Oreochromis niloticus: one gene and its partners. The protein of the gene in region 2 purifies or fractionates together with the protein of the main gene of each other region. This does not show direct contact. Links are inferred from orthologs where the notes say so. Each region holds a gene or a part of one and is shown on either strand. Other genes may lie near its edges.

Region 1 (6,917 bases), on a different chromosome or scaffold from region 2:
GTTGAAAATTGAATGTACTTTAATATAATTTGCACTACAAAGTCCAGCATCAAAGGGATTTAAAGCAAACACTTTCAAAGTAGATCTTAATACTTTAGATATAGAACTTTACAAGAATGTTAACCAAGGGTTAGACAAGCAGCTCTGTGTGTGTTAGTGTTACCTGTGCTTCCTGCTGCGTGGTTGCCGTGGCGGGTCGGTTCCCTGCGGATTTTGAAACATGTCCATGAAGATGGGTTCAAACTTGCGGAAAATCACCGTGGAGACCTCAAAGTTGCGTTCCAGGCGCTCCATTCGGAGCCTGAAGTCCTGTGAGAGCTTGGACATGTCGGCCCACTTCCTCATCTTGGAGAAGAACTGGATCAGACTGAGGAAGGGACAGAACAAGCAGAAGTGTACATGTTCAAACACAAAACAATGGAGGATAGGCTCCCATTAAAACTGTAACTGGAAATTTTGTAACACACTTTTTAAAGGATTTCAGTTTGTAAACATTCATTGTTTATGGTCAAATTTTTCTACAGATAATACAGAAAATTATTTCACTTTCTGTGTTATCTGTAAAGAAGACACTGAATCTGAGTCTTTTCTTCACCATCAGTCATCTAAAACCAGGTAAGTTACCACCTCATAATTTATTCGGCACACTGATGTTTTTATTGCTTTATCAGTTGCTACATTTTTCTTAAACTGCACAGTCAGGTCCCGCAGAGCTGACAGAGATTCACCTGAGTTTCGAGGAGCGAAGAATCCTGGTCAGTGAGACACAGTTTCCTTCCATCAGCCCTTTGCCCACTGTGGGAGTGGACCCCTTCCTGCAGGCTGCATACAGTGAACATGCCAGCCAGTGTACAACATCTCCCTGCAGAGAAACAGCAACACAACATTTACACATTTGTCTTCGATACATAACATAAACATAAAGCTTTGTGCATCATGCAGCTGCATGATGCACAATCATATTCAAAAAGTTGGGAGTTCGCCTTGTAATCGGAAGGTTGCCGGTTCAAGCCCTGGCTTGGACAGTCTCAGTTGTTGTGTCCTTGGGCAAGACACTTCACCCGTTGCCTACTGGTGGTGGCCAGAGGGCCTGGTGGCGCCAGTGTTCGGCAGCCTCGCCTCTGTCAGTGCGCCCCAGGGTGGCTGTGGCTACATGTAGCTTGCCATCACCAGTGTGTGAATGTGTGTGTGAATGGGTGGATGACTGGATGTGTAAAGCGCTTTGGGGTCCTTAGGGACTAGTAAAGCGCTATACAAATACAGGCCATTTACCATATTCATCTTTTTAGTCAAGAAACATCAAACTGATCAGAAAACATTTTGCTGTCACAGCTTCGTAAATGTAAATTAGGAATCAACATTATACTTATAAGCGTGTGTCTGTGTTTTTTTTAAAAGAAACCTTTCCTGCTTTTATCCATGTTTTTATTTTTGGATTCTACTTAAGCTTAAATAATAATAATAATAACAATAATGACAATATTGATAATACATTTTATTTAAAAGTGCCTTTCAAAACACTCGAGGACAGTTTACAGAACAAATAAGACAAGCATAAAAACAGGAAATGAACACAATAATAAAACAAAGTTTAAGAGCATGGAGTAGTTAAACAGAGTAGGTTATCTATCTTTGCATGACTCATGGTTTCAAATAATTCCCATTTATTGTTTTTCATTTTAATTTTCAATAAACAACGTTGCCATGAATTTTATGCATTTAAGTGAATAAAAAAATATTTATTCATTGAAATCAGCCCTATTCAAATAAAGATATGAGTTTAAGAGGTTTTTTTTTTTTTATTTTTTTTTTACAATGACCATTTATTTAATTGAAAGGAGGACGAAATAACAACACAAAACTAACTACAGAAGAAAAACTACTAATGTCATCTATTGGCCAGACTGATATTTCAAACATCAGTACTGACCTAAAAATTTCATCAGTAGTGGATCCCTATACCGCAAGCACTCTTTAAATTACTGCACAGCTTCACCCACCCACACTAGTATACAAAAACAGGCTTGATATAATTTAAGTCAAGCGTCTTTATGTATGTATGTTTATGAAAAAAAAAATCATGACCAAGGTCTGGGGTAACAATACGTTTTCCCCCTTTTTGTTATTCAGTCCAAACCCTGATGTGAACAAAGACTGTGGTTCTGGACAGTAGTTACATTCAATAAATAAAATATTATGATTACTCTAGTGTCTACTTTATCAGAAACTCACGCCATCACAGTAACCCAAACAATAAACAACATATGACAACAACAGCTCAACAAAATAAATCCCAAATAAATCTATATACGCTGTCTTTAGTCTCTAATCTATTTTTAGTTTATTTTATTGTATATATTTAGCTTAATCCAGCTGATACCTGCTGTAACATTAACGCTTCACTTGGACATTAAGTATTTTTGTATTGGAGAGGCCGAAACCAGGGGTGACTCTGACACAAGAATAAATCAGCACGATCATTTTACTGGCAATATGATTAGTTGATACACAGTGGCGATCGACTAACCGGTGCAACTCCAGCGTGGAAAGTAAAAACAGAGCCCTTTAACTGCTGTGTTCGTGTCCTGGTGAAGCATTCACTACGCATGAAAATTAATCTACAGTAATGAGCTTAGCAGGAGTCTGACTCGTTAAACAGCTACTGACTATTTAGAGGACATTATTCACCTCCAGAGTATATGTATTCCATATGGCAGTAAAGTTGTCCATGGCTTCTGTGGCCGTCTGTTCGTCCATGTTCAGCTCCTGACACAACGTCTCCAAACTCCTCCGCACCGAGCTCTCCTCCATCCTGCTCGACTCCGAATCTGAAGACTCTTCGCCCCGCATCCGCACCAGCGACAGGTGTAATTTCAACCTGAGTTCAAATCTAAAAAACAAAACACAGCGCCCCTCTTTCCCACTGCCAAATAACACAGCCCCCCAACTTGTTCAGGACACAACAACTTCCGTTATCAGTCCCCCACAATGCAGCGCGTTGGCGCGAAAACTTCACGACCCGGACCAATAAGAGGCGAGGGGAGCGTCGGTCCCGAGCTGTTCGCCCAACCCCCTGCCACAAGCTGAAAGCTCGTGCTCAGCCGACGCTCTGGCTCTTTGCTTTCAGCTGTTACCAGGCAACCACGTTCGAAGCGCGCGACCGAAAACATGTTCTATTAATTTATTTTAAATTTTGATTATTGGTATTTAATTGAACACGAGCAAAGCTATACGGAATAGAAAATAGAAAACGTTTTTATTAACTGTTAACTGTGTCAATTTTAAGATGGCCTACGAATGCGTTCCTTTCCCCGCCCCCGGAAGTTTAATGTAGAGGACTGAAAGGATCCTAAATTTAAAATACTGGAAAGATTGTAAAACAGAAAAAAAGGTAGCACTTGTAATAACCGGAAATTTTGACTTATGGGTGGCTTTTTTGTGATTCTAACCATGCATTTTTAATTTATATTTATATTAAACATTTATATTAAATTCAATTTACATAGTAATAAAATAGTAACGTCTACAGGTGTGTTTAAAATGCGTATTGTGGCAGAACTTCCTTCTAGAACTTTGAATCAAACTTTTAACTTCCAGAAGTAGCGACCCTAAACTGGATGAAGCTTGGTGGTTGGATGGATGCATGGATGGATTGAAAGGTATTTAGTTGTTTGTTTTACATTGCCATGGGACAAACCTCTAACCTCAGCAGGGCCTCTGGTATGTTCAGATACTGTATACTGTTAACTCTGGGTATATTAATTTTAACTGCTGGTGCATGCTCATGCTGTAATATTGTTTGGTCTTTTGTAACAGTGATGCTTAATCACATTAAAAAAGGGGAACATGGGGCTGACTGTATAAAAATAGCACATTTTAGTGGGTCCTCTGAAATGCTGAGTCTGAGTGTAGCAACGCGACAGAGACATCAATATAAATAATTCAAATGTGACGTATGATTAGCATGGAGTTTTTTATACTTTGGATTTTTTTGCTTTTACAGAAGTTTCAGAAACAGGAAAGAATAAAAAATCAAGAACATTTTTGTTTATGATCACTTTATTTTTGAAAGCAACTAAAAAGTAACTTAGCCCCCTCAAACTAAACTACTTCTGTAGCTAAAGAAAGTTAATGTTCTTTATAGTAGCATAAAAAATCTCTTTATAACCAGCTATCCTAAACTCTAAACTCCAATAGTCGTATGACCGTGTAATCTCAGTACAGATTAGACAGTAAATAACACAGCACTCTACCACAGTGTGTATCAAAACCCCATATGATTAAAGCTAGACTACTCAGCACACTAAACGAAACACATTAAAATCCTTAACAGTATTAGGAACTAACAACAAACCCCAGGACTACTCCCACTCGGTTTTGTCATTTACATCATTTATGTTTCCATTATTCTAAGTAAAGTAATGAAATGCCCCGTGGAGCCCCTCACACATTTAGAGACAGCTTTTAGAAAATCACAGCGGACCAGTGAGTGTGCTCTCAGTGAATGCTGTATCTGCTGTTATCTCTGGTCTCAATTGTCTTTATCAGCAGCTTCGGGGCAGGAGAGCTGGAGGCACTTTGGTAGCCATTAGTGCTTTTAGTACTTGAAGAGAAACCTGAAGAAAAATACAGGAAGATGTGTAAGACAAAATTTCACAAAATACAAATTCTCTGTCGTTATTAATGTAACCTCTCAGTCCAGGGGCCCGTTCTTCGTACCTCGCTATGTAAGTTAGCCGGATTTGATTGTTGACGATTTCGCGTGATCTTGGATCGTTCGGTTCTCCGAAGCTCATCTGGGACTTGCTGTCATAGCAACAGATCCGTAAGCGTAAACCTGCTCGGGAGCAGGTTTACTTTATGTAAACAGGATTAGATCGCGGCCACTCAGGTATGTCCGCTGCATGTACACGAAAGCAACAGCGATATTTCACCACTGTTTCTCCATAAATAAATATTATCAATGTAACTAAAGATAATGCAGTATTTGATTCTTTTATTGATTGCATACAGATACATACAGGTCATTTCCTAAGAAAAAGGGAAATGTACTAGTAATCATTCTATTACACGTATTTGATTATTTCAGATGTAATTCGTATTTTAGAGTAGTAATAGTAAATTACTTCGTGTAATCAAGATGAGAGACCACGGCTATAAAAGCGAAGGTGGATTTGGGAAGTCTGTCGCAGTCATGTCCTGTCCGTTTGTACGCGAGCAACCCATTGCGGAAGGTGCAAGATTGATAAGGAGAGTTTCCAGAATTCAGCGTATATTGCGGGATTGACAGGATCCGTCCTGTCATACACATACACACACACACACACACACACGAGGGGGTGCAGGACCACCACCTGTCTTTATTTGCTCTGCCCTTTTCTTGGTTGCTGTTATGAACAAACAAACAGATTATTTCAGGGTCTCTTTTCAAGAGACTAAAAGCAATATAAGTGATAAATATTACCATTCTGTAGAATATTCTTATATTTCACTTTTACTTGTCCCCATGTTCTAGTGGGTCCTGTTGTGGCTCTAATGTGAAAGAGGATATAATGGAATATGATATAATAAATTATTTACGAGTTTAATTTGTCAGCAACTTTCTGCCAGCCCTCTCTCCTTGCTTTTGCAGCCTTTGCAGTGTTCCCTTGCGTTTTAATTAAACTCTGAAACTCCTGATATCCCTCAGTCAAGAGTTCTTGCTCTGCTGCCGTAAAATACTGAGCGCGCGCCTTCGACATCTTCGCCGACCAATCACAGGGTTGCCGATCAATGTTTCTACTATCGATGCGTAGCCCCTTTTGAGACACCCAGTGATCTCGCATTACTTCATCCAGCTATACTGATCGTCAACAACAGGTGTGTTCGGAGAACCGGATTAGCGAGCTCAAAGTTAGCGCGATGATTTGATCTTGGATGTGTCATTTGATCTTGGATGTAGTAAGCGAGGTACGAAGAACGGGCCCCTGAGCATCAAGGGTTTAGTCATATAAAAACATTCTGTCACGGTCCCCGTGTCTCTCTGGCTGGCTCACGCTGGCTACAGGTTTTGTTGTTGTTTTTTGTTTTTGTTTTCTTTGTCTCTCCTCCTCCTCTCTGCCTGGGTGGAGCTCGTTACGGGCTCTCGCTCTTGGCCCACGCACCTGTGATTGTCTCCACCTGCTGCTGATCTGGCTGATTTCCCCAGCTGCTATTTAAGGCAGTGGCACAGAGCAGCTCACCGCTGGAACGTTGAACCTCCTGAGTTCGTGCTCTCGGCATTATCAAAAGAATCCTCTATGTGAATTTTGCTGTGGAACTAACGTTGAATTCTGTGTGTAGATATCCCTCTTCTGGACCAAATCATGGGACCTGCCCGGGTGTGGCAGCATGTGTGGAGTTTCGGAGCAAGTGCGGCTGAAGAGGAGTGCGTGTGTGCGGAGGAGCTGTGGCGGTGACTGTGTGGAAGAGGAAGCGTGTGTGGATCCCCCCCCTTCTCTCCCCAGAGCCCTGGACCCCCCCTCTCCCAACTCACTGTACATATATATAGCACTGAGGTGATCCCTGTTGTAAATAAATAATCTCCTTTTGTTCTCAAAGAAAGAACTGTCTGCGCGTGAGTCCGTCCAGTAGCCATGACACATTCATATTCATACACTAATCTGCCTTAGTATTTGACACTTACTGTAGTTGGAGATGGGCTGGATGTTGAGGATAGACTGTTGTCCAAGTCTGCAGAGGCAAAAGAGGAAAAAAAGAAAAGAAAAAGAGGTTATTTATATTTCACTTTTGTGGACTCTTTAACTCTTCTGTTCCATCCTGGGCTGTAACCATGTGGTGTCACATTCCCACCTGTAGAGGGCACTCTACCCTAACATTACCCAAATTCTGTTTCATTTCAGTCTGGTGTAGTTCTCACTGATGTCTCTATTATCGCT
Region 2 (7,679 bases):
GTTCACCAGAGGAGTTGACTGGACAGGCAGTCGGAGGAGGAAGTCGGTACACATTCTGACCTTTACCGTTGATTGTGTCCGTAACCTAGGGAGAAAAAAAAAAAAAAAAAAAAAAAGATTACTGCTAAACGCTTATTTCCAACAACAATACTTAGTGATGCCATAACATGCCATTTTGTTTTTGGGGGGCACTTACTAAAACAAAAGTACGAGTACACAATCAGATAGTGCACCTCACAAACAAACAACTCAAAAATATCGTCACTGTAGGGATCATCCATTAAAAACAGTTTCATTATATCTTATTCAGATAACCTTGATTAAAACATGCAAATGTAACAGTCAGTTACATTTGCACTTAGGCAAACAAAAGAAGACAATAGTTTGGCACACAGTGTACTGCAATGAAATTAACAATTAATTTAATTACATTTAATTAATTACATTAGACCTTGTGAAACAACAATTGATTGAATCAGGAAATGATCAAATTATGAGATTGCAAAAGAGTTAAGGCCCTTTAACATGAGATGGGGCATGACCTGCGCTAACCGCTAATTAGAGCGAAGGACCCCAAATTTGTGTTGCACTGGCCGCTCTGCTTGTGCGTCATTTTTTGCGGCCGCTCTACATATACTAGATGCGTCTGCTCCTTTACATTAAAAAACATGTATGTCTCTGAATCATATCGTCTGCAAGATGTTTAATTAAATTTTTTTTTAAATGTATTGTTCATTCATAAAGAAGAAACCTGTAACTATCCTACTAGTCAAGAGTGTGTCATTTCCTCAACACTGCTTTTCTCTTGAGGTCCCCAAAGTCGCTGAAATGAAAGACTTACTCAAAGGCTCTGGAGATCCCTATATATGCACATAAACCTGTGTCAAAAAGTTCATCAAACTCAGATACACACAGAATGTTTTCCTTAATCATTTGGTTAAACTTAGAGCAGCTGTAGGCATTGTTTCTATTGGTCACGTGAAGGTAAGTCACAACACGCAGTGCATGCACGAGTACTCCTCGCTGGCACGCTTGGGCTGTGCTTTGCTCAGCGCTTTGGTTGGCACAGCAGTACAACGTTATTGTGTGGCGCAAGCAATAGAAATGAACGGGTTTCAGAGCGCAGGGCTGCGCGTCCCACATCCTATGTGAAAGGGCCCTTACACTCTACCCTGCAAAGTTCCACATTAGCAAAATGTAAAAGACCTCATTTTAACTTACTGTAGATGCATGAGTGAAGTATAACTTTAAATCAATGTGCCTCTGTGTTTTTTTGTACATTTGTTGGTTGTACATTTGAATAAAATCTCCAGCATCTAATCCATTTATGATCCTACCTCTTCCTCTACCATGCTCTGTGGGGAGCTGGGGGAAGCAGCTGGTTCTCGAACGGAAGGATTATTCCTCATCCATGCACGGCAGATAGGATACAGTGGGGTGGCGGTGTTGAACTGAGCCAGATCCACACTGCGGTCAAACAACTTGATAACGTAGGCATCTATTAAAAGGAGAACAAGAGAAAAATAAATTAAAGGTAAGAAAATGGTCACAAGTGCAACAGACAAGATGGTTACACAGTAACCAAGGCACATCAAAGACAAATTCCAATCATTTTTCATTATTTTCATTAATTTACTTTGTTTATGCTGATTGCTTTCTGGAATGCTCTCATCCATCTCTTTTCGCTTCTTTCTCCGGTGCTGTGGAAATCGAGCCGACGGTCTGCAACAAATAGATTTTTTAAAGTAATAAATTTTTGGAGCTTAAAAGAGATTCAAACTAATTTCTCATACAATTCAAGTAAAATTATATTTTTTATTTCCAGACAAAATGATAAAAAAGTCTAAATATGCCCTGTTTTAAATGCCTTGGTATTTCTTTGTGAAGCACTTTGTGATCTTTGTATTGGAAGGTGCTATATAAATAAAATTTTACTTACTTAGTAATTACAAAAAAGTTACTGACAAGTCAAGTTTAACTAAAACATAAATACTTGCCTTTTTCCAGCAGATGTCGGTGATAAATCCCTAAAGAGAATGGTGGAATATGCATAAATTGCAATTAAAAAATAAATGTTGAAGTAAAATCATTGAATCAGCGCACCCAATTGTAAAATATTCTATTAACAGATCATTAAAAACTAAATAAAACCAAAATCACTGGTCCATACTTGTTCAAAGAGTCGGCTGACAATTTTCCCGGATCACCTTCATTTTGTTCCCTGCTGAAAACATGTTTATATTAGTTTTGTTATTAAGAATAACTCGATTCTATAATAATTATATGCACAACAATTAATTTTGCTAACCTTTCATTTTCGCTCTTCTCTACCAGTCCCTTTAAGACAGCATCTAATTTGCTGCGCGCACCAGCCCCGTCTAAGTCTGCAGAAGTAATAACGAAATAATTAATGACAACAACAATACTCACTTTGGGTGACACTCGCCCCCTGTATTACTTAGCTTTTAAGAATCCTGTATAATCCGAACCACTCAAACTTACAGGCGAATGTACTCCAAAACAATCCAAAACAAGAATTTGTACCACACAAAATTTGGAAAAGCTGAAAACACAAGGCTTCAGGAAATATTGAGAGCTGCTGTTACCTGGCCTTTCAGTCTTGATCTTGACGTGTTGCATTGTGTCCGCCTTTCTATAGACACCCCGTGGGAACTGACGGACTTGTAAAACCACACGGTTGCTGTTTCGGTTCTTTAGATTTACAATAAATTATGTTTGATTCCTTGCTAACGGCGCCGTTAGCCAAGCTAGCTGTGGGTACCGTTTACAACCAGTTAGCTGTAACCACTGGTTAACAGTTAAGCTATATAACGCTATTCAAACCATTAAGCAAATAACATTTATCCCTATCGACTTCCATATAGTTAATAGAAAGATACAGCACAGCAGTCGTTTATGATTTATACCAAGCTTTGCAGGGTAATGGCCAAACTACTGTTGCTAACTTAGCTTATTTTTGACAAACGCATAACCTTACTAGACTTTCCTCTTCCGCGCGCTGCCAATTTCCTATTAGCTGATTGGTGCCTGTGCAAACAGGGCCGCCTATATGATTGGTCAAATGTTATATCAATCATTTTTAATTCGTTCCCTATTGGCTGTATGTCGTGTAGTAAATAACGTTCGGCATACACAACAAAAGCTCTCTTCCACTTTCATCGAGAATGTACTGGGTTTGTAAAATAAACGCGAAGTTACTATGTTTTTAGTCAGAACGTTAAATTGGAATGATAAATAGATGTTCATAGAGCCTAACGGAGAAGCGTAATTTATATTCTGAAAGGGAATTTCTGGCATTTGAAGTAACTTTGTGTGTAGACAAGTAAACTCGGAAGAGTTTAGTAATGGGGCCATCGTCTTTTTGTTAGCTAAGTAACCCACTCAGATTAACACGTCAGTCCTGATATGATTTGGGGTGCACGAGGTAAACCAAGCCCACGTTGAAACAAGGACTGTGTGTGCTTTCTTGTGGTCGTTGATGTCTCATCGGTCACCTCCAAAGGTTGCTATGAATTCCAGGTGAGGATCTAATGACACATTTTGTAGCACCCTAAACAGAAGAAGTTATAGTTAGTAATATGTGTTCTTCTTACAGTGGACCTGTGTTCACAAAGCAGAATCCCTTCCCAGCAGCACCCAAAGTGAGGACGGCACACTACCACCCATCCAGCAAACAACCCCTCTCAAAGAAAGAGAAAAAAACTGTATGTTTTATTGTCAAAAACACTTAATATACTGCAAGAAAAACAGATTCTCATTGTGATATATATATATCCCTTTTCTGTTCTTCTTGCAGACACTAAGTCCTGTACGTTTAAACCAGCGATCCAGAACAAAGTTACATAATCTAAACCGAGAGAGCCAGCAGCTGTCTAAGAAGCATGACCGTTTTTCCTCCATTGATGGACAACCTGTTCTTAAAGAGTCCCAGGCCTCCACTGTCGTTGGATTCTCTCCTGATAGAAATACTGCCTCATCTGACATGGACGAACCCAAACAGTCTGGAAAAATGGGGAAATCCAGTGTTTCCCAAGTTCAAGGAGGCCAGGAGGATTCTGTGCTGGCAAAGTATGTCTTAATGCCTTATGTAATTTTCTTAAACAGAACTAAAAAAATAGTTTCAAAATGACAACGGGACAATTTTTCATGATTAAATATGACAATGTCATAGTGACCCTGATTATTTTTATTTCATTTTGCACGTGACTTCTTGTAACCAAATCTGACCTTTGCTTTGCCAGATACGTAGAGCGTTTTCGCCATGGTCGCCCACAGAGTCGAGAGGAGCGCCATCAGGTGGCTTCTGCCAGTGGAGAAGAGCAGGCTCCTTTTTGGTGGATGTCACATTCATCACCCAGCAGTTCAACACCAACTAAAACAACAGACGAAGGTACACTTTATTTACAGTCATTGGTGTATTTTATTCCCCATTACCAGCTGCTTAATTCTATCAAATCTTTCTGTGTACTTCATTTCTCTGAAAAGATGTTATCCAACTTCTGAAAGAGGACCAGGATCCTGCTCTTTATGATCCATCTGCACAGCGTGACCGTAACAGATCCCTTTCTCCCTACAGAGGATCCAATAGTGTAAGTTGTATTTATAAGCTAAGAAGAAATAAGCCATAATTTATCAATTTTTTTATAGCAAATGTGCTTCTGTTTCTTGAAAAAATAACAGATCCATAAGATAGGGGGAAAAGGCACCACCAATTATTCAGTTTTTATTGTTTGTGTATGATGTCACAGTGGATTATGGGGTTTACATTGTCCCTTGATTTACACCACGCATGTCCAAAGTGCCTGGGATTCTGATTGTTTGCAGAAGCAACACTTTATTCCGACTAAGTTTGCATATAAACATTTCCATTTCAGCACCACACTCCATTTGGAGGTCTATGTGTTTATTAAATGCCTGGGAAGTCGCCGTTTATGCAACCAGATTTGACACGTTGTTCAGCCTGCTAAGAACAAATGCATCACCCTTTTAATTAAAATCCTTTTATTTATTTATTTATTTGGGAGGATTTATTTACACAGTATTGCAAGTCTTTATATGAAAAAACGTGTTTTTTGTTTCCCAGCTTTTGTCCGACACATCCCAGGGTGAATTTGATGACAGGGAGATCCTGCACCTTCAAGAAAAGGCCAGCAGACTTCTTCTGAGGGGGTATGAAGACCGTTGAGCAATATTAAAGATAAATGGCTTGAGTTGTATTAACTTTTTTTTTTTTTTTCTAACAGTGAATGTTCTGTGAGTGATGGATCTGTCCCTGTCAGCTCAGAGGGGCTGGGATGCTCAGATTTCTCCTATCCCATCAGTATAGATGAGCCAGTGAAGCAACCTTTGATTCCCAGTTTATTCAAAAATACTACTGGTAGGGAAAGAGTGTGGACTAGAATACCTTTTGTTATTTATAGACAGATTCTATTTTGCGTGCTGCTGTGTTTTAAACAGTGTGTTAACATTTACAGCAAAGGCCAGCTCAGACTCAGCTCATGGTGTGTCCTTCCAAAAATCTGTCATGCCTTCTTTGGTGCCTCCTACCCGTCCAGAGGAAGACATATTGTTCCAGTGGCGTTTAAGGAGGAAAATGGAGCAAGCCAGAGAGAGGCCCCTGTCTGTGCAAGCCTCCAGTCCTCATGCATTTAGTTGGCAGGCAACGAGGTTAAGCTATCCCTCCATTAGTGAACAAGCTTACAAGGTTGGAATCAAACTGTTTGTTACATTATCCATATTCTTTGCACAAATTTACAGAATAACATTAATTTGCTCTTCAGGAACAGCAGGGTACCCAACCTCCTCAATTCTCACAAAGAGATACTCATTCACACATCACTGCTGCCCAGCCAGAAACCACAGAGGCCCAGAGGTTCTGTCCCCCAGCTCCAGGTCCTTCACTATTCCCCACCATCAATGTTTCTGGTTCAGTCCCTCAGCCGCAGAGCATTGCCCACGTTCCTTCCCACATGCATTTTCTCTGTGACGTCTTGCCATGTCCCATCCAGTCATCTCATGCCAAAGTGCACCAGAGCATTTCACAAAGGTTAGACGAGTCACAAACCAAAGTTCTTCACAAAAAGACCCAAGTCCCTGAAAGCCTTGGAGAATTAACTCTTTGTGAACGCATGTCACTCACTCCACCCACGCCATCTGAGAGAGAGTGGCCTGATCACCAAAAAATGTCTGAGAAGAACAAGAAAAAGAAAACGGGGACGAAGCAATCAGAGGTAAATGGGAAGGAGGAAGCAGTGCTCGCCAGACAGCATAAGAAATCAGCAAGGTGAATTATTGAAACATGGGCACTGTTTAAAAGTCTTGGTGATAAAAATATGTGTTTGATATATACCGTTAACATTTTGTGGGATTTATGCTTCACAAACAGGAATTCATTACATCAAAAGCTTCCCAAAAAGGTCACATCATGTAAAGAGCAGCAGCAACCAGAGAGAAGACAGGAGCTTCCCAGTGAAAGCTGTGCTGGTGATCACGAACCACCACCATCCCCTATCCACAATGCATTAGGACAGGTAAACATGCAAATGTGCAATTTTATTTCTTTATTTGAAGCCACAGAGGCTGTGTCCATATTTGGGCTTTCTGGGGGGGTTTTTTCTCTGCAGTATATTTGATAAACTGAAAGCTGTGTGTTTGTTCTCAGACTTTGGCAATCTATGATTGTTTACAGATCTTAATTAATCATTTGTAAAGGCCATTGACAGATCTGGTCTTTAGGAGACTGTATATATTAAATATTTAAATAAAATACACACAAGTTTTTATTGAATATAATTACAGGTCTACCTTCACTATGCATGTCTGCACATATTTTTTGGATGCCAAACTGGTCATAAGGTTCAATGTGATCAAGGTAATTAATATGCATTAACTTGGGTGTTTTCATTTGACCTTAACAGGTAGTTTCAGAGGTACTGTTTCCTACGGTGGATTCCTCTTCTCCGAAAAGGATTCCTGTTTCATCTGATTCTCCTTCCTTCACCGTCGCTGCACCTTCACCATCGCCAATTCCTCCAAGCAATGCACTGAACTCTATGGAAGTCATTTCACAGCTTTTCCAAGAGGCCGAAGGTAAGCTTATGGTGGCAAAAGGCACCAGTCTTTAGCCCGTAAACAGCTGCATAAATAGATGCTTTTAGTATCTGTCCTCTCACTCAGATTAAACTTTTTGTTTTAGATTCGGATGAAAAAGAGTTTGGAGATGATCCTTTGCTACAAGTTCTTCGCAAACAGAGAAAATGGGTGAAGGAGCAGATCAGGTAAAACGGAATTAGATTATCACCATTACTGTAATGATTAGAATCCTTTCCTGTGTATATTTCTAGCATTAATTTATTCTTAAAATCTCTTTGAATCGGTTGACAGTCATGTTAACAGAGTCGATTGCCAGAAAAAGAATGATTTTTTGTTGTTGTTGTTGTTGTTTTGTTAGTGAGGTGGACTCCATCTTAAATGAATTCGTGGAAGAGCAACAAGTTACTTGAAGAACATCAAGAGACAGTTTTTGTAGTCACATTTATTTATTTTTTATTTTATAAAGAAATAAAGTTAATTTATATTTTTGAGGACATTTTTCTACAATAAAGGTTGGAGATGTGTCTCGGTGGATTATTATTCACAACACTGTGCATGTACAAAAG
Region 3 (7,957 bases), on a different chromosome or scaffold from region 2:
TCCTTAGTGCAGAAGAGACATTTATTTGTTAGGTCAGCATGTAGCCACAACTGTGAAATAGCCAAGACTGAACAGATGCAGAACAAACAGTATACAGAATACATTATACACAATATAAAACCGGGACAGTTTTTTAAAATAACCCTGTGGTATTGTGGATATTTACCCCATCCACCATGTCTAACACTTCCTTCAGAGCTGGGCCAGTGGGAGACAGGAATCCGGAGCTGTCCACCACCCAGCTAGTGCTGTTCAGTCCTCCTGTGCTGTCCACCTCACTCTTGGGGCTCAGACTGTTGCTTGGAGAGGGAACAGACTTTGACAGCCCAGCTTTGCTGGGGCCAGCTTTAGCTGTTTCCTGCAGCTATTGGAAAAAGAAGATTCTATAACAACACTAGTATAGACTAGTTTCTGATACTTAAGGTAACGGTGTTATTATTTTTTTTTTTTTAAATGAATCTGAACAGTCACTTACTGAAGGAGGGATCTTCTGCTCCGAGTCCTTGTCTGAACTGTCTTGAGAGCAACTGGGCATCTGTGTAATGAGAAAAAACCCAATTTCTGTATCTTACCATACATATCTTTTGTATCTTGTATCATAGAGGAGGACATCATGGAAACACAGCCCACCTGACCATCCTTGCTAACACGAGCCCACAGCTCCTCCAGCTCATTGGGCCTGAAGACCTCCCCGGAGTAGAAGCCCATCTCTAACTTCCGTTTGATGGTCGAATTCCAGTGATTCTTCACTGCATTGTCCGTCCTGTCAATATATATCAGGACGTGAATTGCAGTGTTTCCCCACATACTGACTTCATTTGGCAACACAAAGTAATCCTCGCACTTATTTTGAGAGTTGACTTATTGTTAAAACCTGGCCCTTCTCCTGAGACATCCAACAATGTAATTACACTACCTCTTAAGTGTGTCTCACGTCCTGTGGATGAAAGGATTCCAGCAAACAACAGTAGACAATACTCTGCTGCGAAGATCTGCTGTGACCTACAGGCTCAGTCTAGCTGGAACAAGTTCCTCGTGGTTGAGAACAGAACGAGAACTACTGTTTAAGTTTAAGACTGTGATGTAGGAGTCCATTGCAGGACAAGTGACCCACCGGATAGGCAGCTGATTAAATTGTTCATCAGTTGTTACAAAGTATCTGACAAGCACGGCAACGTATCAAACTTTTCTAAGTTAAAAATTTAAGAATTCACTTCAGAAAAGAGCAGGAGTTTGCATGTAAAAGCTCACATCAGCCCAATTCTGTTTCTGGCAGAGTAGCTACTTGCCTTCCAGGGAGCAGTTTTGCGATCTCAGCCCAGCGATTGCCAAGCAGGCAGTGAGCCTTATAGATGATGAGGTCCTCCTCAGCCGTCCACGAAGACTTCTTAACGCTGGGATTGAGGTGGTTGTGCCAGCGCTCTCTGCACTGCTTCCCCAGTCTGCCTTTCAGGTGCTTGGCTACCAGCGCCCACTGTTTGTTGCCATAAAGATTCACAAGCTCTATAACCTAGAGGACAAAAAAGAAAAGTTAAAAAAAAAAAAGATCACCAGCATGCTTTTATTCACAACATATTTACTCCATTCACACCTCTGAACTACCTACCTTCTCATCTTCCTCTTTAGTCCAGGGGCCTTTCACTAATTCTGGGTCCAAGACTTTAAACCAGCGATGCTGACACTGATGTTCAGTATGATTCTAAAAAAACAAAAAAGCAAACTCAAAATACTGAAAAAGATTTCTGTTGACATACATTCTTACAGAAAAGATGCTCAGACTCACAGGTATGTAGCTGGCTATGGTTTTCCAGTCATTTGGTCCCAGTTTTTGAACCAGCGTTTTAAGCTTGTCATCCTGTATACACACCAAAAAATGAGCATTTCTTATGATCCCTGTCCTCCTCTAGAGCCATTTAAATTATCTGTTTACTTCAATGTTTAAATGAAGCAGTCTGGTTTACATTATATATATTAAAAAAATAAAAATAAACAAATACCTCCTCTTGAGTCCATTTCACCTTCACTTTCCCTCCATCCCTCTGCTCTGCCACATCAGAATCAGTGTCCTGATGCATGGCCTCCTCTCCATCCTCACTGAGAAACAAACAACTGTGATGTGGACGAACATAGCTGACAGACAACTCACTACTGACCGGCCCTGGTGATGTCCGGAAGACAGCTAGATTATCGTTCTTATTTTTCTAGCCAACTTGGCGGATAACAGTTCGCTCGCAGAAATAACACAGTTTGCCAATAATGTCTGTGCTGAGCAGTGATTTATTTATCTAGTGTGATCTAAGAGAAACCGTGTTTGGCCTTAAGTTTAACCCAAAGCCTGTTTTCCGTGTCCGGAAAAAGGGCGGCCAGACACAAGCGAGCTCCCAGGGATAGCAGGGTTAGGTCAAACAGTGAAGACTTCAGTTTCCAATTGACTGTATTAAAAAGAATAAGTTAAATACTCACGTCAACCCCCAGTGTTAAAAAACACACACACAGCTAATTTAGGTAATAACGATTAACATCTTACCCGCGCGGCCACCGGGACATTTCCCTCTATTTCTGTTGTTTACGGTCCGAAAGCGATTTCTCCGGCGGCCGTTGCACGTCATGTGCATACGTACTTGGTATTATGTCGTCGTAATACCCGTGATTAATGTCTTTATGCTGTAGCCAGTGTTGGTGATGGAGGCTCGGCACTGTTCTAATGTTACAGCCTATACAACCAGCTGGTGCGGAGCGCCAGAGTTGTCCGCGCTCTTGGATTTCTATCTCGCGCTCTTCTCTGTCGTAGGAACCGGATAGTGACGTAGCTGCGCATTGGAGCTGCGCGTAGCCACAGAGAAAGCTTCCGGTGGAACTTTTTTGGGTTTGTCCCAGCGCTGTAAATTTTGTTTTATTATCGTAAAATAATGTTTTCTGCAGTCATTGGTGTGTCTCAGTCAAACACTGTAAACACCCAATTGCTGAGAGGGGAAGTTTAGATATTGTTACATAATAAAACAGTAATGAAATTTAGTTTGAAAAAACACGATTTTTCTACTACAAAATTTCAGACACTTTCACATAAAAGTGTTTACTTATAAAGTCATTTTAATTTATTTTTTGTTTGTTTTTTCATGTTTACACCTTTAACTAAATATACTTTCTACCATTTTCCTTCCCAGAAAATCTATAGTATGTTTGCGAACAGCTTTTAAACAATACAGTGCTTATTAGACCACCACCCGGTGTAAGGTTTATGCACCAGCTGCCTTAAATTGATAGTACTGGTATTCAAAAAGTATTTTTAATGTTTCTGTAGTGGTTAGTCCACCAGTATGTGTAAGCTCTTTAATAAAAATTATATTTTTAATGCTAAAATTTTTTTTTTTTTTTAAACAGCATACAAATAAATAGTTTTTAAAAGGTTTAGTGATCTTGTTAAAATTACAGCCTTATATATAACCTAACAGATTAGCGCTCAATAAACCACAAGTAAATTACAGGGCCTGAATCTGTACAGGGCTGACAGGTCCGCCTCCTGCTCCCACTGATGACCTGCAGCTGGGTCAATTAGCAAGCAGCTCCAACAGCTTAAAAGCCAGCTGGAGGAGGGAGGCAGCCCTGATCAAACATGGAGAAAGTGTTTGTGGTCAAAGGTAAGAAAACTAGACTGAATTAGACGTGTTGATTTGCCTCATCAGGTGATTTGTTTCTGAATTCTGTCTAACATGTTTTACCTTCTAGATATGAAAAGCTTTGAGTGCTCATCTCCATCAGAGCTTGACAGGAAGTTTTATGGGGAACAGAGTCTGCTGTCTGTACTGTCACTGGAACAACTGTCCACATCGAGGGTGTCGAATGACACAACAGCTGATGGATTGGACACCAAGCCGTCTATTGGAGCCTCTCTCTGCCTGTCCTCTGACACCGCCTCTCCCTGTCCAGGGTTTTCAGTGAACACCATGAACACTCACGAAGCTGATGGCTGCTACCTGGCCGTCCCGTTACAGGGGAAGTCCTCCACTCCCCACATGCTCCTTCAGAAGCCAAAGCAGGCAGCTTGTTTTGATCAGTCATACAGCGATCTCACCGCCTCACAAATGTCATGGGACGTGTCTGTGATCAAGTCGGAGAGCAATAGCCCTAGATTCTACGTGGAGTCCTGCACTCTGGAGCAAACGTGGAGTCCAAAACCCTCACAACAAGAGTCACTAGCTGATGTTTCACCCTGATGTGGCTAAAATTAACACTTTACAAGGGAAAAATGTTAGATGTCAAGTGTGATGTGCACTCCCAGCCTCTGCACCCACTATGTCCAAGTTAACACCCCCCCCCCCAATCCATAGTTTGACATCATGTTCTGTTTTAAAGGATCCATGTGAGGACTGATGCAGAACAGTTTGCCTTTTTAATAATCACATCAATGTTTTAACTACAAAAATATTTTCAAAGCACTGTTAAATAAAGGGTATAGAACTTTATTTGCTCTGGTATATTCTTACAATGAAAGACAATACAAAGTTATAAAATGTAGCTGTACATGTTCTGAAAAGTGTGGTTACCACAGTCCCTCCATTGTAACTGTGCTCATAAGCTCAAACTGTGCTAATTTCAAAAGGGACGTATTGAATGTTCAGATTTCTTGAATCCAATCACAGCGGAGTGAACCGGGCCTCAGGATCCATATCGTGTTCCTGCCAAAAGTGAGGAAAGTCATTTTTGGACAAAGCCTTTAGATGCAAGCAGATGTAGTTATGAACACACTCACCTGATTTAGTTTCTTGAACTCTACAACCTGGAAGAAAATGTGTTCCAAGATGTGCTTGGCATCCCTCTGCTCTTTATCCAACTTAGGAGTCACTCCGAGAATTTCACCACATTTCCGGACGTAGAATTCAAGGTCATCGTCTGTACCTGTGAACACAACCCATTTAATAACAGGATGAGTACGATTAACTATCTGCTTCAAAACAGGCAAGTTCAGAAATAAACTTAGTTTAAGGGAGATGTCTGGGTAGAGTGTACAATAGGTGGGACTAGGGTGATCAGATTTAAAGGAGACTCATGAGCAAACATTTAACATGTAAATATCTGTAGCGGGAGGATTGAAAGTAGCATCCCAACTGACGGCAGGTATCAACAGGCCTTTTTAGACTTGTTTAAAAAAACAAAAAAAAACATGCTGCATTTCCTGTTATTTGTAGTACTTTTATTCATATTCCACGAACATTTCATTCACTTTTGGTGATTTGTGAATTTAAACTTTAAGTAGTGTAAACAGAAAAATATCATGACATGCTAACCTGCAGGAGAACCATGACAGCATTCTTCAGTCATTCAATAAATCGATTCAATTTTATTTATATAGCGCCAATTCACAGTCGCCTATATTTTATTGTAAATACCCTACAATAATAGACAGAAAAACCCAACAATCAGATGACTCCCTATGAGCAAGCAACTGGTGACAGCGGCAAGGAAAAACTCCCTTTTAACAGGAAGAAGCCAACAGAACCAGGCTCAGGGAGGGGTAGCCATCTGCCACGATTAGATGGGGTGAGGGGAGGACACTGTGGGAGTAGAGTTTAGGTAGCTGCTCTGCATCGTGTTGCCACATGGCACTAAAGATAACAAACCCGGAGGAATTGGCTGACTTTTGAAGTGTCCTGTCTTACATATATATTTCGACTTTTAAAACTAGGTCAAATTAAAAGATAAGACATAGGTTAAGTCAAAATATGTGATACAAGAGATGAAACTGCTGTGCAGTCCCACGTAAAGAGGGACACCCGATCAACCTATATGAGATAAAGGATGGCTACTGAACTGCTGTGAAAATAACCACCTAGCTTCTCACACATAAGTAGCAAATGAAAGTCAGTTTAATGTGGAATCTGACTGCCCTGGACATGTAAGTCCTCACATACGCCTCCATCAATAGATATCTAGAGGGCTGCAGTGCATGTGTGAATGCTCCATTAGCAATCCTGAACTTACACTTATTGGTGAGCTGTGCCAGTCGCACTTTCTCCGACGAGAATGTTTCGTCTAGATCGAACAGGTCCAGCATGGGTGGTGGCAAATCATTTAAGGCAGGTGGAAAGACCTGAAAGACAGGACAGCACCTACTTTTGGCTTCAAACTTGTGGGACTTTAAGCAAAAATGTTGTCTTAAGTTTTCAGTTACATTGACGTGAAATCCTTTGAACAGAAAACCCCCAGAAAAAAAAAAAAAAAAAAAAAAACTCACAGCAGGCTGAAGCTGAGGCAGAGGAGTTTCAAACTGCGGTGCAATCAGCTGCAGTGGCTCAGCTTTCACATTAAGCTGCTTGTAAGCACTGCAAACCAAAGATCTGTTTTTAGCTTCGAAGGGAAACAACAGCGATTGGACTCAGGGGAGGGTGACCAATTTCTCACCTGATGACTTGGGGTAAGGTGTCAGTCGACAGATTGAACAAAGACATATCAAAGAGAGAGGTGAAGTCCCGTGGGTTTTCGTCTCCTTCTTGTAAGCACACTCTGAGCTGTTCAGACAAACAGCCAGTGTCTGGCAGCATTGTGTAATCTGTGATCTGGGGGACAAAAAAAAAGGACAAGAAGAAAAGAAGAACCTTGGCTCATTTAAAAAAAAAAGAAAAAGAAAGAGAGAGAGAACAATTAGGAAAGCCATTTTGCCATGCACACTCCTCTTCCTCACCTCTGGGTCTTCGGCATCAATCTGATTCAGCTGAATGTTATCGGTCATGAGCCACTGAAGCACAACGTCCTGTGATAAAAGAAAAAGTTGTATGCCACGGCAGCCAATAAAAAAAACTACTATTGAAATACTCATTTAAAGGAGCTTTATTCTAGAAGGATCATGCTTCTACCTTTACCTAATAAATTACACAAAAAAGTGGACTTACCATGATTTTATTGTTCTCCTCTTTGTCTATGTATTGATCACTGAACATGTGGCAGGAACCCAAGACAGCCAGTTTGCCAGAATTCTACATTTAAAAAAAAGTAATCTCCATGTTACCACATTTCTGACCATATGGTTAGGAAAAGAAAGTTGTCACTACACTGTGCCTCTGACCTTGCCCTGATAGAAAGCCAGGACAGGCCTGTTGAGGGGAAAGCAGACGGAGCCCGTTGAAAGAACAGCCACGGCCGGCTTCACCACGGTCAGTGTGGCACCGTACGGGTACACAAATGTGAGCGCCCTGCACAAAGAAAGACAACAACTCAAATTTGAAGTCTTTCTCTTTAATGCAGAAGATGGAGGTGTACAAAATTGAGACTCACTGTGCATTGTTTCCAACATTTTCATCTTCAATGATTCCCGTGACCACTTTTCCAGCAGCACGACTGATCTCCCTGCACAGGAAACAGGCAACTGAATTGATAGTTTGGCATTTATCAGCATACAGATGAAATTAGATAAGTGTTAGATTATGCCATCATAAATTTAGGCTAGAACAACCTGGGACTCTGTGAAATATACATAAAAAGAGAAAAACACTGGTGAACCTGTTCAGTACACCATTCGACACAAGCGCCTCCTTAGGATGGAAGTATTTGTAGTACACATTCCTCACCACAGCATCTTGGATGAACAAGATGAAAACGAATACAAAGCATTTTAAAAACAGCATGGGCAATGTTTGCATAGTTGTTTTTCCAACAAGGTTTCAATGCACACCATTGTTGACCATTACTCCGAAGTCCTCCAGGAGGAAATTGATGTTTGTGTCATACTTCATTTCTCCTCCTTCACCGAGCATGACCAAGATATTCCCTCCTCCATCCAGGTAGACTTTCAGCGCCTCCATCTGAAATAAAAGGAAATAACTACTGTGAAAATGTGTTTGCGGTTGAACAAATGAAAGAAGCTTAAATATTTTGGGTGGCCCTAAGCCTTGTAGAATTTTAGACTGCTTGGAAATTAGCCGGCAAATATCATCTTTTCGCCCATATATCACCTCTGACGCTG
Region 4 (7,620 bases), on a different chromosome or scaffold from region 2:
TATGTTCAATTGATATTGACGCAATCATTTACAGTAGTAAATATATTTAATTTAACAGTAACATGTGGAACATGACAAGCAATATTTTTGTAAAAATGTATTAATAATACAAAAGGTCATTGTTACCTGGACAGTCTTCAGCTGCTGGGTCTGTAATGTGGTCACCTGGTTGCCCACCACTGGCTTCAGGTCTGACCTCCCACCTATAGTCACCACTTTAAACTGCGGAGCTTGAGACTTGGTGTCCCCGGCAGTCTGTGAAACACCAGGCTTGCTGCCTGTGTGGGGTAACTGAAGCACTATAGGCTGCCCTGATTTTCCTATAGCTGTAACCAAAAGTTTCTGTCCATCCTGCTTGATGACCTGAGGTGGATTACCTGCAGACTTTGCTGCTTCTGAGGCTTGAGAGGCCACCTTATTGAGAATAATCTGGCGATTTGCAGGAGAGATTGTAAATGGAGTTGTGAGCTTCTGTAATCCACTTGTAGTCACACTAGTTCCAGTAACACTGTCTGTGGTTTTGGTTGTGGCTGTCGAAGTAGCCAAGCCTGGTTTGATAGTAAGAAGAGGAGACGATGTGCTGGAATTTGAGACAGGAGGCGGACTTCTGGGGCTGGCACTAAGCATGGAGTCTGTGGCTGTGGAGGTGGTCATAGCCTGAGTGGGTTCGGTTAAAGCGGCGTCTGAACAGAGGCTCACGTTCTCTGAAGCCATGGGTGTATCAGTTTCCATTGGGACCGATGCATCATCACTGGGCTCTGAGTGGACTCCAGTGGTGCCAGGTTGAGAGTGAGGAACATCCTCTATATCCTCAGTATCCATGATCTCATCAGGGAGGAGGCTGTTGAGCTCTGGTGACACTACATCCATGCTTGCAAACTCTCAGCTTTCTGTTAATCCTGAAAGAACAATACAATTAACTTTAATTGTCATTGCAAAATACATCAAAAACACCAGTAAGCCACAACATTAACACCACTGTCAGCTTAACTTATAATACAGGCACACATGTTCAAACTCCAGCAGGTCAAATCTGTTTTATTGGCTATTAGGCAGGAGGGTTTTCTGTTGTATTTGATCACTTTTATATTATTTGAAAGACCTAGAAGCTTACATTTACTGCACTAGATGCACCATGAACAGGGAGAGACAGACAAAGATAATACAATTTTAAAATTCTGAGGATATACATTCATCATTTTAGAGAGCTGTTGCATTTAATTGCAGTCAACAGTGTTTGCAATTCATTTAAAAATGTATTCCTCTACTCATTTATACAATATACATAACTGGATTATAATACAGACAGACAGCTAAAAGCTGTGCTGAGAATATAGAGCAAGATAGTTCAAGCTAGCGAGCTAGCCATGTTGGTGCAGTAGAAGTGCCAGATTGTCATAACTTTACCTGTAAATCACTTCAGTAATTACGTGAGGTGTAATAAATAAAGAGGTGGGCATGAGTAACGTTTGACTTGTGCTGATTTTGACTGAAGCAGACAGCTGATGCTAGGCCGCAACGATCATCTCTGCCGTATCTTTGTCCTGCTGCACTCTACTCAACATTAATCCACCGAAACGCACATATGAACCCTACCCACTCCATACCACATTCACACGCAGAGCTGACTGAGCTGAATCTCTTCACGTCCCCAGATGAAAGCCATCAAAAGAAAACTGTGCTGAGTTGCACTCGTTTATTTTAAAAATGCCCAGAAGTGGTCCTGACTGGGGCAAAGAGCGAGGAAAAAAAGCGACAAGCTGTTTTGTTGGCTGCGTTACTATTTCAGGCCGGGGTTGGATTTCGAAAGATCCGCCATTTTTACCTCGTCATCAGCTTAGTTAGCTGCCCGGCTAACGCTAAGCTATGCTGAGGGGAAGCGTTTATAAATATTGGTAATAAGCAGAGACACTTACACTGACAGTTCACTGCAAAACAAGCATTACTAAACAATCGCTGAAGATAAGACTTGATGTTAACAGGGTGCTGCTGGCGAGTAAAAAAACAACAAAAAACAACAACAACAACAAAACTCTGCAGACTCTGACAACGTAAACAATGCTAGCTTTCACTAATTTCTCCTGTCACTTGACATAGGAGGAAATACAACATTTTAATTCCACAATGCAATTATTGCGATTGCTACTATAGATCTCCTTAAGAGCATTTACAGTCTGTGTTTTAGGGCTGGAGTTAGCGTGGCCTAACCAGTTCAAAATGATGTTTTAGTTTAACCTCAAGAAAGTCATATTTTGACTGAGTTATAGTCTGAGAATGAACCAGAAAAGCGTAAATTCCAAGAATGTTACGGGGTCAACAGCTAAAGTAATATGAAAACAACTAACAGCAAATGGAACTGCTGACTTGTGCCTTCTAATATTTTACATACATATAAAAATATCTATGATCCTTTAGACGTTTCGCCAGTATGTCAAATGAAACTCGATGTGCAGCTAACTTAGCTTTTACTTTTCATTTGCCGTTGCAGTAAGTAAACTTAGCGGCCGGCTCACATGATATTTACACCAAGTCCCTGTTTTGTGCACGAGAAACTTTCCTTAAGCGCTGAAAATACTCTGCCGAACCAAGTCCTGGGAATATTATACTGCTTTTTCACCGGAGTCTATCTTTAAACATCGTTATCGTTATTGTTATCATTATCACCATCAGCAGCAAAGACAGCAACAGCAGTCTCATCTAGACAGCCCAGCGGGCAGGACAACTGTACTAGCAAACTTGCTGAGCTTGCTAACCCGAGCTAGCTAGCACAACATTATATCTCAACATTGAATACATTCTTTAGTGTGAGTCTTTATGTTGAATATAGTGTGTTAAATCCTAGAAAGGGCCAACGCATAGTCATGCTTACCCCAAATTTTTAAGCTAAGCAGCGTTTCCAGATAAAGGGAGGAAAGGAAAAGACGATTGTTCAAAATACCGCGCCGAGCGCCATTCCTCCCTGACATTTCACAGGCCGGCCACGCCCTCCACGCGATACGAAACACTGACGTAACACTTAAAGCTACAGCACAATTGCTTTATCAACGTTAGGACTGTTTCTACAAAACTATTTAATGCTTCTTCTTCTTCTTCTTCTTTTTTATAGTTTTTTTTGGGAAAATAAAAACTTTTATTAGTTTATAAAAAACAAACAACACAGTCAGCCTTGGAGCTCGTGTGCTGGACATTACCAAAATCTGACAGAGCACTACCCAGCAGCCTCACTAAGTGCCCAGTCTCACGTACCACTGTCAGGTAGTCAGTAAATAATAAGGTGGTGGACATGTTTACTTACATGTCCCGTAGTTTCTCTTACAGTAACAGTGGCAAAACACATGAAATGCACTTCAGAAAATCAGAGAAGATAAACTTCACCCTGCAGTTGTTACTGCCTAGATGGGAGTAAACTGTCTTCAGCATGGAGATTACGCCATGATTCACTCCCAGATTCGACCTGCTTGCATACTACAGAGTGTCAAGAGATGTTTTCGCCTGAGGTCTTAGGCAGGCCAGCGTAGTCTCTTCAGTACATTCATCATAAGTCTTGATGCATTCTCAATCATCCAGGAAAGTAAATCTCGAAAAGTTGAATCTGATCATCTGGACGTAGCGTTTTGTGGGAGAAACGTTTCGTCACTCATCCAAGTAACTTCTTCAGTCTCAGCTGACTGCAGGTTTCCCCAAACCTAATAAACAGTACATTTGCATAATGACTGAAACCAGCCCACTGAAGGAACAATGGGCTGTGAGGTCAGTTCCTTAATCATAATTATGCAAATTCCCATGACCATTGATCAACAATCACTGACCAAAACCCACTGATCAAAGAACACTGATCAATGGCCATGAGTACCATTCACTTTGAGTTGGGGAATGGCTGCAATCACAGCGTTGTAAGATGGCGAAAGATGTACCCTCAGGCCCCCTCCTCGATTCAGAGATGGTCTTTCCCTCTTCACGTAAATGGCCTCCTTGACTCCGCGCTCAAACCAGCATTCCTCCCTGTCCAGGATGTGTACATCCTCATCATTGAAAGAGTGTCCACTGGCCTGTAGGTGTAAATAGACTGCAGAGTCCTGGCCTGATGAGGTTGCTCTTCTGTGTTGTGCCATCCGCTTCGCTAGAGGTTGTTTGGTTTCCCCGATGTATAAATCCTGACAATCCTCCTGGCACTTAACAGCGTACAGTATGTTACTCTGTTTGTGTCGGGGGACCTGATCCTTGGGGTGGACCAGTTTTTGGCGCAGCGTGTTTTGGGGTTTAAAAGCCACAGAGACCCGGTGTTTAGAAAAAATGCGTCTCAACTGTTCCGATACTCCTGACACATATGGGATCACTACAGGTTTTCGCTTGGGCAGCAGTTGTCCTTCTCTCCTGGATCAGCTGGAGCTTTCTTTAGGTGCCTTTCCCGCTTTGACAAAAGTCCAGCTGGGATAACCACATTTACTCAGGGCCTTCTTGATGTGCTGTTCTTCTGCCTCCCTGGCCGCTGTGTCTGTGGGGATGGTGTTCGCTCTGTCTTGTAGCGTCCTGATGACACCCAGTTTGTGCTCCAGTGGATGATGAGAGTCAGACCTTAGATACTGATCCGTATGTGTAGGTTTACAGTACACGTCAGCCTTTAGATGTCCCCCATTACTGATGGAAATCTCACAGTCTAAGAAGGCTAACCTGCCACTTTTCATATCCTCCCTGGTGAATTTGATGTGCCGGTCCACCGAGTTAATGTGATCTGTGAAATGTAGTACGTGATATGATTAAGGTACTGACCTCACAGCCCATTGTTCCTTCAGTGGGCTGGTTTCAGTCATTATGCAAATGTACTGTTTATAAGGTTTGGGGAAACCTGCAGTCAGCTGAGACTGAAGAAGTCACTTGGATGAGTGACGAAACGTTTCTCCCACAAAACACTACGTCCAGATGAACAGATTCAACTTTTGGAGATTCATCATAAGTGACATGAGGTCCAGTTGATAGTCAATGAGCTCTTATGGTGCTGACTTTTTCTTGTACAAAAGTCGATACATCAGGCATGTCTTTATGTATTTTGCGTAATACTTATATACTTTTTGACTGATGTTGATTATAGATATTTAGTTTTTAACTGATACCACTTGTATATAACTTGACCTCTGGTGTCATATGTATTTTATTACTATTACTATTATCCAACATTATTTAGTTAGGCTATATATTTTAGTTGTATTTTACTTAAACAAACAAACAAACAAACAAACAAACTTTTGACTGGTTTGACAAAAATGTCAGCTCAATTCAATTTTATTTACATAGCATTTAAAAAGTAATAAAAAGAAAACCCATACAGTCAAATGAATCCCCAAGAACAAACACTTGGAAACAGTGGAAAGGAAAAACTCTTTTTTACCAGGAAGAATGTGCCAGAGGGTACAGGGGCAGCCATCCACTGCAACTGGTTTGGAGTGTGGGGAAGAGAAGAGAGCAGAGAGAAAGACAAGGCAAAAGACACGCTGTGGAAGTCTACTAGAGATTAGCTGTAACTAATGATTATATGTAAAGTGCTGTATAAACACACAGAAAGTAAGAAGTAAGTGAAGAAGAAAAGTTATTCATAAAAGTAGAGAGGGTGTCTGTCTCCTGAATGCAATCTGGTAGCTGGTTTCTCAGAAGAGGGGCCTGAAAGCTGAAGGCTCTGCCTTCCATTTTACTTATAAATGCTCTAGGAAACACAAGTAAGCCAGTAACTCGAGTGTGAAATGCTTTGTTAGGGTGATATGGTATTATGAGATCTTTAAGATAAGACAGGGCCTGATTATTCAAGACCTTGTATGTGAGGTGTAGAATTTAAATGGGATTCTGGATTTAACAGGGAGCCAGTGAACGAGAAAAAGCCTTGCTAGTCCCCGTCAGTACTGTTACTGTAGCATTCTGGATCAATTGAAGGCTTTTCAGGGAGCTTTTAGAACAACCTGATAATAATGCTTTACAACAGCCCAGCCTAGAGGCATTAAATACAGAATGTAGTTGTTCAGCATGTCTGTGAGACAGGATATTTTATTGCGCAAACACAAGAAAGCCCCTCATATTTCAGATGATACTAGTGTTAAAAATAGATTGACCCTTTTTTAGGTTAAAACACAAAATTACCAGAAAAAATGTAACCAAATATAGCTATGATTATTTTCAGGAAAGGGATGGATAGTTTATAATACTCACCAAGTTTTGTTTAAAAACATATATTATCACTTAAAATTCAGACAATAAAAAAGTAATACAATAGATCAACATTTAAGCCTGGCCTAAAATAATTATAATCATTCTTTTCCCTCTTCCGCTCCCATGGCTGGCTGCGTCACTTCCTGGCTGAGCTCTGCGCTCTGACTGCAGACGGAAGGCTCTCCCCTGTCTTGGCAGAGGAAACCGGTGTTGACACTTCGACACAGGCTACAATGGCGACCGAAGTGAGGCAGGAGCTTACACAACTGATGAACTCAAGTGGATCTCATAAAGATCTTGCTGCCAAGTATGTAACGTTAGTTAGGGAGAACATCACTCGTTAAAAACTGCAACAGAAACTGCTAGCTAGCAGCTAGATACTGGTCTGCACAAAGCTAAGCTAACGTTAGCTGCATTAGCCATACATCCAGATAAACCAGATAGAAACGCAATCAGTCTGTCAATGTTTGCTTTTAGGTTTTATCCAAAGTGCAAGGAACATAAAAGGAGTGACTACCCACATTAATTGTTGGTAAAATAATTATGAGAACTGTATATTTTATCATCCAAGCTAACTAGCTAACTTGCTGCTCTTTAGCTGCACATTTGGTGCAGAGCACAAGGTAATAATAATAATAATAATGATAATACATTTTATTTGAAAGCGCCTTTCAAAACACTCAAGGTCACTGTACACAGTAGAGTAAAAAGCAACATAAAAGCAAGGAGTTTACACAATCATAAAAGCATAAGACATAAACAAATTTAAAATAGCTTAAATATAGCTTAAATACAGTTTGAACAAAGTGATACTTGACTAGAAAACTGCCAGGACACCCTTTGCGTACGTTCTTACCATCCTATAAACAACATCTTTATTAGGAACACCTATGCAATCCAAGTACAACTGTGCTGTAAAGTCTACTTTTGCAATTTCAGTTTTCGTCAGTATTGTCCAAAAGGTGATAAATCTATTTAAAAGGTATCTTTTAGGTCCTGTTGTATACGTGTTTGTATAAGAAGAAAGTGTTTACTGTATTTTTATCCACAGTATATGCTAATGGTTAATTAAAATGGAAATATTTAAATAGCTGTTTATTAAAGGGGGGTTTAATTCACTCAAGCTTAAATACACTTGTTTTTCACAGAAGTCACAATCAAATGCATCGACTTCTCTTAAGTAAGGGACCACAGACTCATTGCTGTAATTATATGTGAACTGGTGTTTATGTGCATAGTTCTGTTATGTTCAGAGCACTTTAGTGACATGTTGATTACAGATTTATTTATGAAATGATATTTACCGAATGGATTGGGTACTTTTCCTTCGATTTTGGTACTTTTTTTGGTACTCATTTCAAAATAATAAATTCAAAATTTCCTCTCACAAAATAAGTCCATACTTCTCAGTTTGTACATTTTGCT

The links.
Region 1: the proteins of lin37 (region 2) and rbl1 purify together in Homo sapiens (affinity purification with mass spectrometry; 3 studies listed by BioGRID and IntAct, with this or other methods). This does not show direct contact. The link is inferred for Oreochromis niloticus from reciprocal best matches to the Homo sapiens genes LIN37 and RBL1.
Region 3: the proteins of lin37 (region 2) and mybl2b purify together in Homo sapiens (affinity purification with mass spectrometry; 6 studies listed by BioGRID and IntAct, counting the BioPlex papers as one, with this or other methods). This does not show direct contact. The link is inferred for Oreochromis niloticus from reciprocal best matches to the Homo sapiens genes LIN37 and MYBL2.
Region 4: the proteins of lin37 (region 2) and lin54 purify together in Homo sapiens (affinity purification with mass spectrometry; 4 studies listed by BioGRID and IntAct, counting the BioPlex papers as one, with this or other methods). This does not show direct contact. The link is inferred for Oreochromis niloticus from reciprocal best matches to the Homo sapiens genes LIN37 and LIN54.

What each region holds. Positions count from the first base shown.
Region 1 is NC_031970.2:5,192,290-5,199,206, reverse strand, and holds the start of rbl1 (retinoblastoma-like protein 1), read right to left. Parts: upstream 3,005-6,917; 5' UTR 2,851-3,004; coding exon 2,689-2,850; intron 863-2,688; coding exon 729-862; intron 368-728; coding exon 164-367; intron 1-163. Other genes in the region: si:dkey-222f2.1 (keratin, type II cytoskeletal 8), read right to left, coding at 4,498-4,616, 6,665-6,711. UniProt on the Homo sapiens protein: Key regulator of entry into cell division. Directly involved in heterochromatin formation by maintaining overall chromatin structure and, in particular, that of constitutive heterochromatin by stabilizing histone methylation.
Region 2 is NC_031976.2:17,552,554-17,560,232, forward strand, and holds the start of lin37 (protein lin-37 homolog), read right to left. Parts: upstream 3,010-7,679; 5' UTR 2,641-3,009; coding exon 2,607-2,640; intron 2,385-2,606; coding exon 2,309-2,384; intron 2,225-2,308; coding exon 2,171-2,224; intron 2,028-2,170; coding exon 1,998-2,027; intron 1,723-1,997; coding exon 1,637-1,722; intron 1,499-1,636; coding exon 1,338-1,498; intron 86-1,337; coding exon 1-85. Other genes in the region: proser3 (proline and serine-rich protein 3), read left to right, coding at 3,500-3,540, 3,617-3,725, 3,818-4,089, 4,263-4,411, 4,507-4,610, 5,105-5,190, 5,265-5,398, 5,496-5,725 and 5 more.
Region 3 is NC_031970.2:33,717,031-33,724,987, forward strand, and holds the start of mybl2b (v-myb avian myeloblastosis viral oncogene homolog-like 2b), read right to left. Parts: upstream 3,021-7,957; 5' UTR 2,548-3,020; coding exon 2,528-2,547; intron 2,095-2,527; coding exon 1,998-2,094; intron 1,856-1,997; coding exon 1,784-1,855; intron 1,700-1,783; coding exon 1,607-1,699; intron 1,511-1,606; coding exon 1,290-1,510; intron 764-1,289; coding exon 631-763; intron 536-630; coding exon 476-535; intron 365-475; coding exon 167-364; intron 3-166; coding exon 1-2. Other genes in the region: ift52 (intraflagellar transport protein 52 homolog), read right to left, coding at 4,635-4,676, 4,751-4,896, 5,980-6,088, 6,233-6,320, 6,400-6,554, 6,680-6,748, 6,888-6,971, 7,061-7,187 and 4 more. UniProt on the Homo sapiens protein: Transcription factor involved in the regulation of cell survival, proliferation, and differentiation. Transactivates the expression of the CLU gene.
Region 4 is NC_031972.2:11,870,369-11,877,988, forward strand, and holds the start of lin54 (protein lin-54 homolog), read right to left. Parts: upstream 3,004-7,620; 5' UTR 2,870-3,003; intron 2,799-2,869; exon of another isoform or gene 1,608-2,798; intron 1,563-1,607; exon of another isoform or gene 1,408-1,562; intron 900-1,407; 5' UTR 871-899; coding exon 127-870; intron 1-126. Other genes in the region: cops4 (COP9 signalosome complex subunit 4), read left to right, coding at 6,429-6,502. UniProt on the Homo sapiens protein: Component of the DREAM complex, a multiprotein complex that can both act as a transcription activator or repressor depending on the context. In G0 phase, the complex binds to more than 800 promoters and is required for repression of E2F target genes.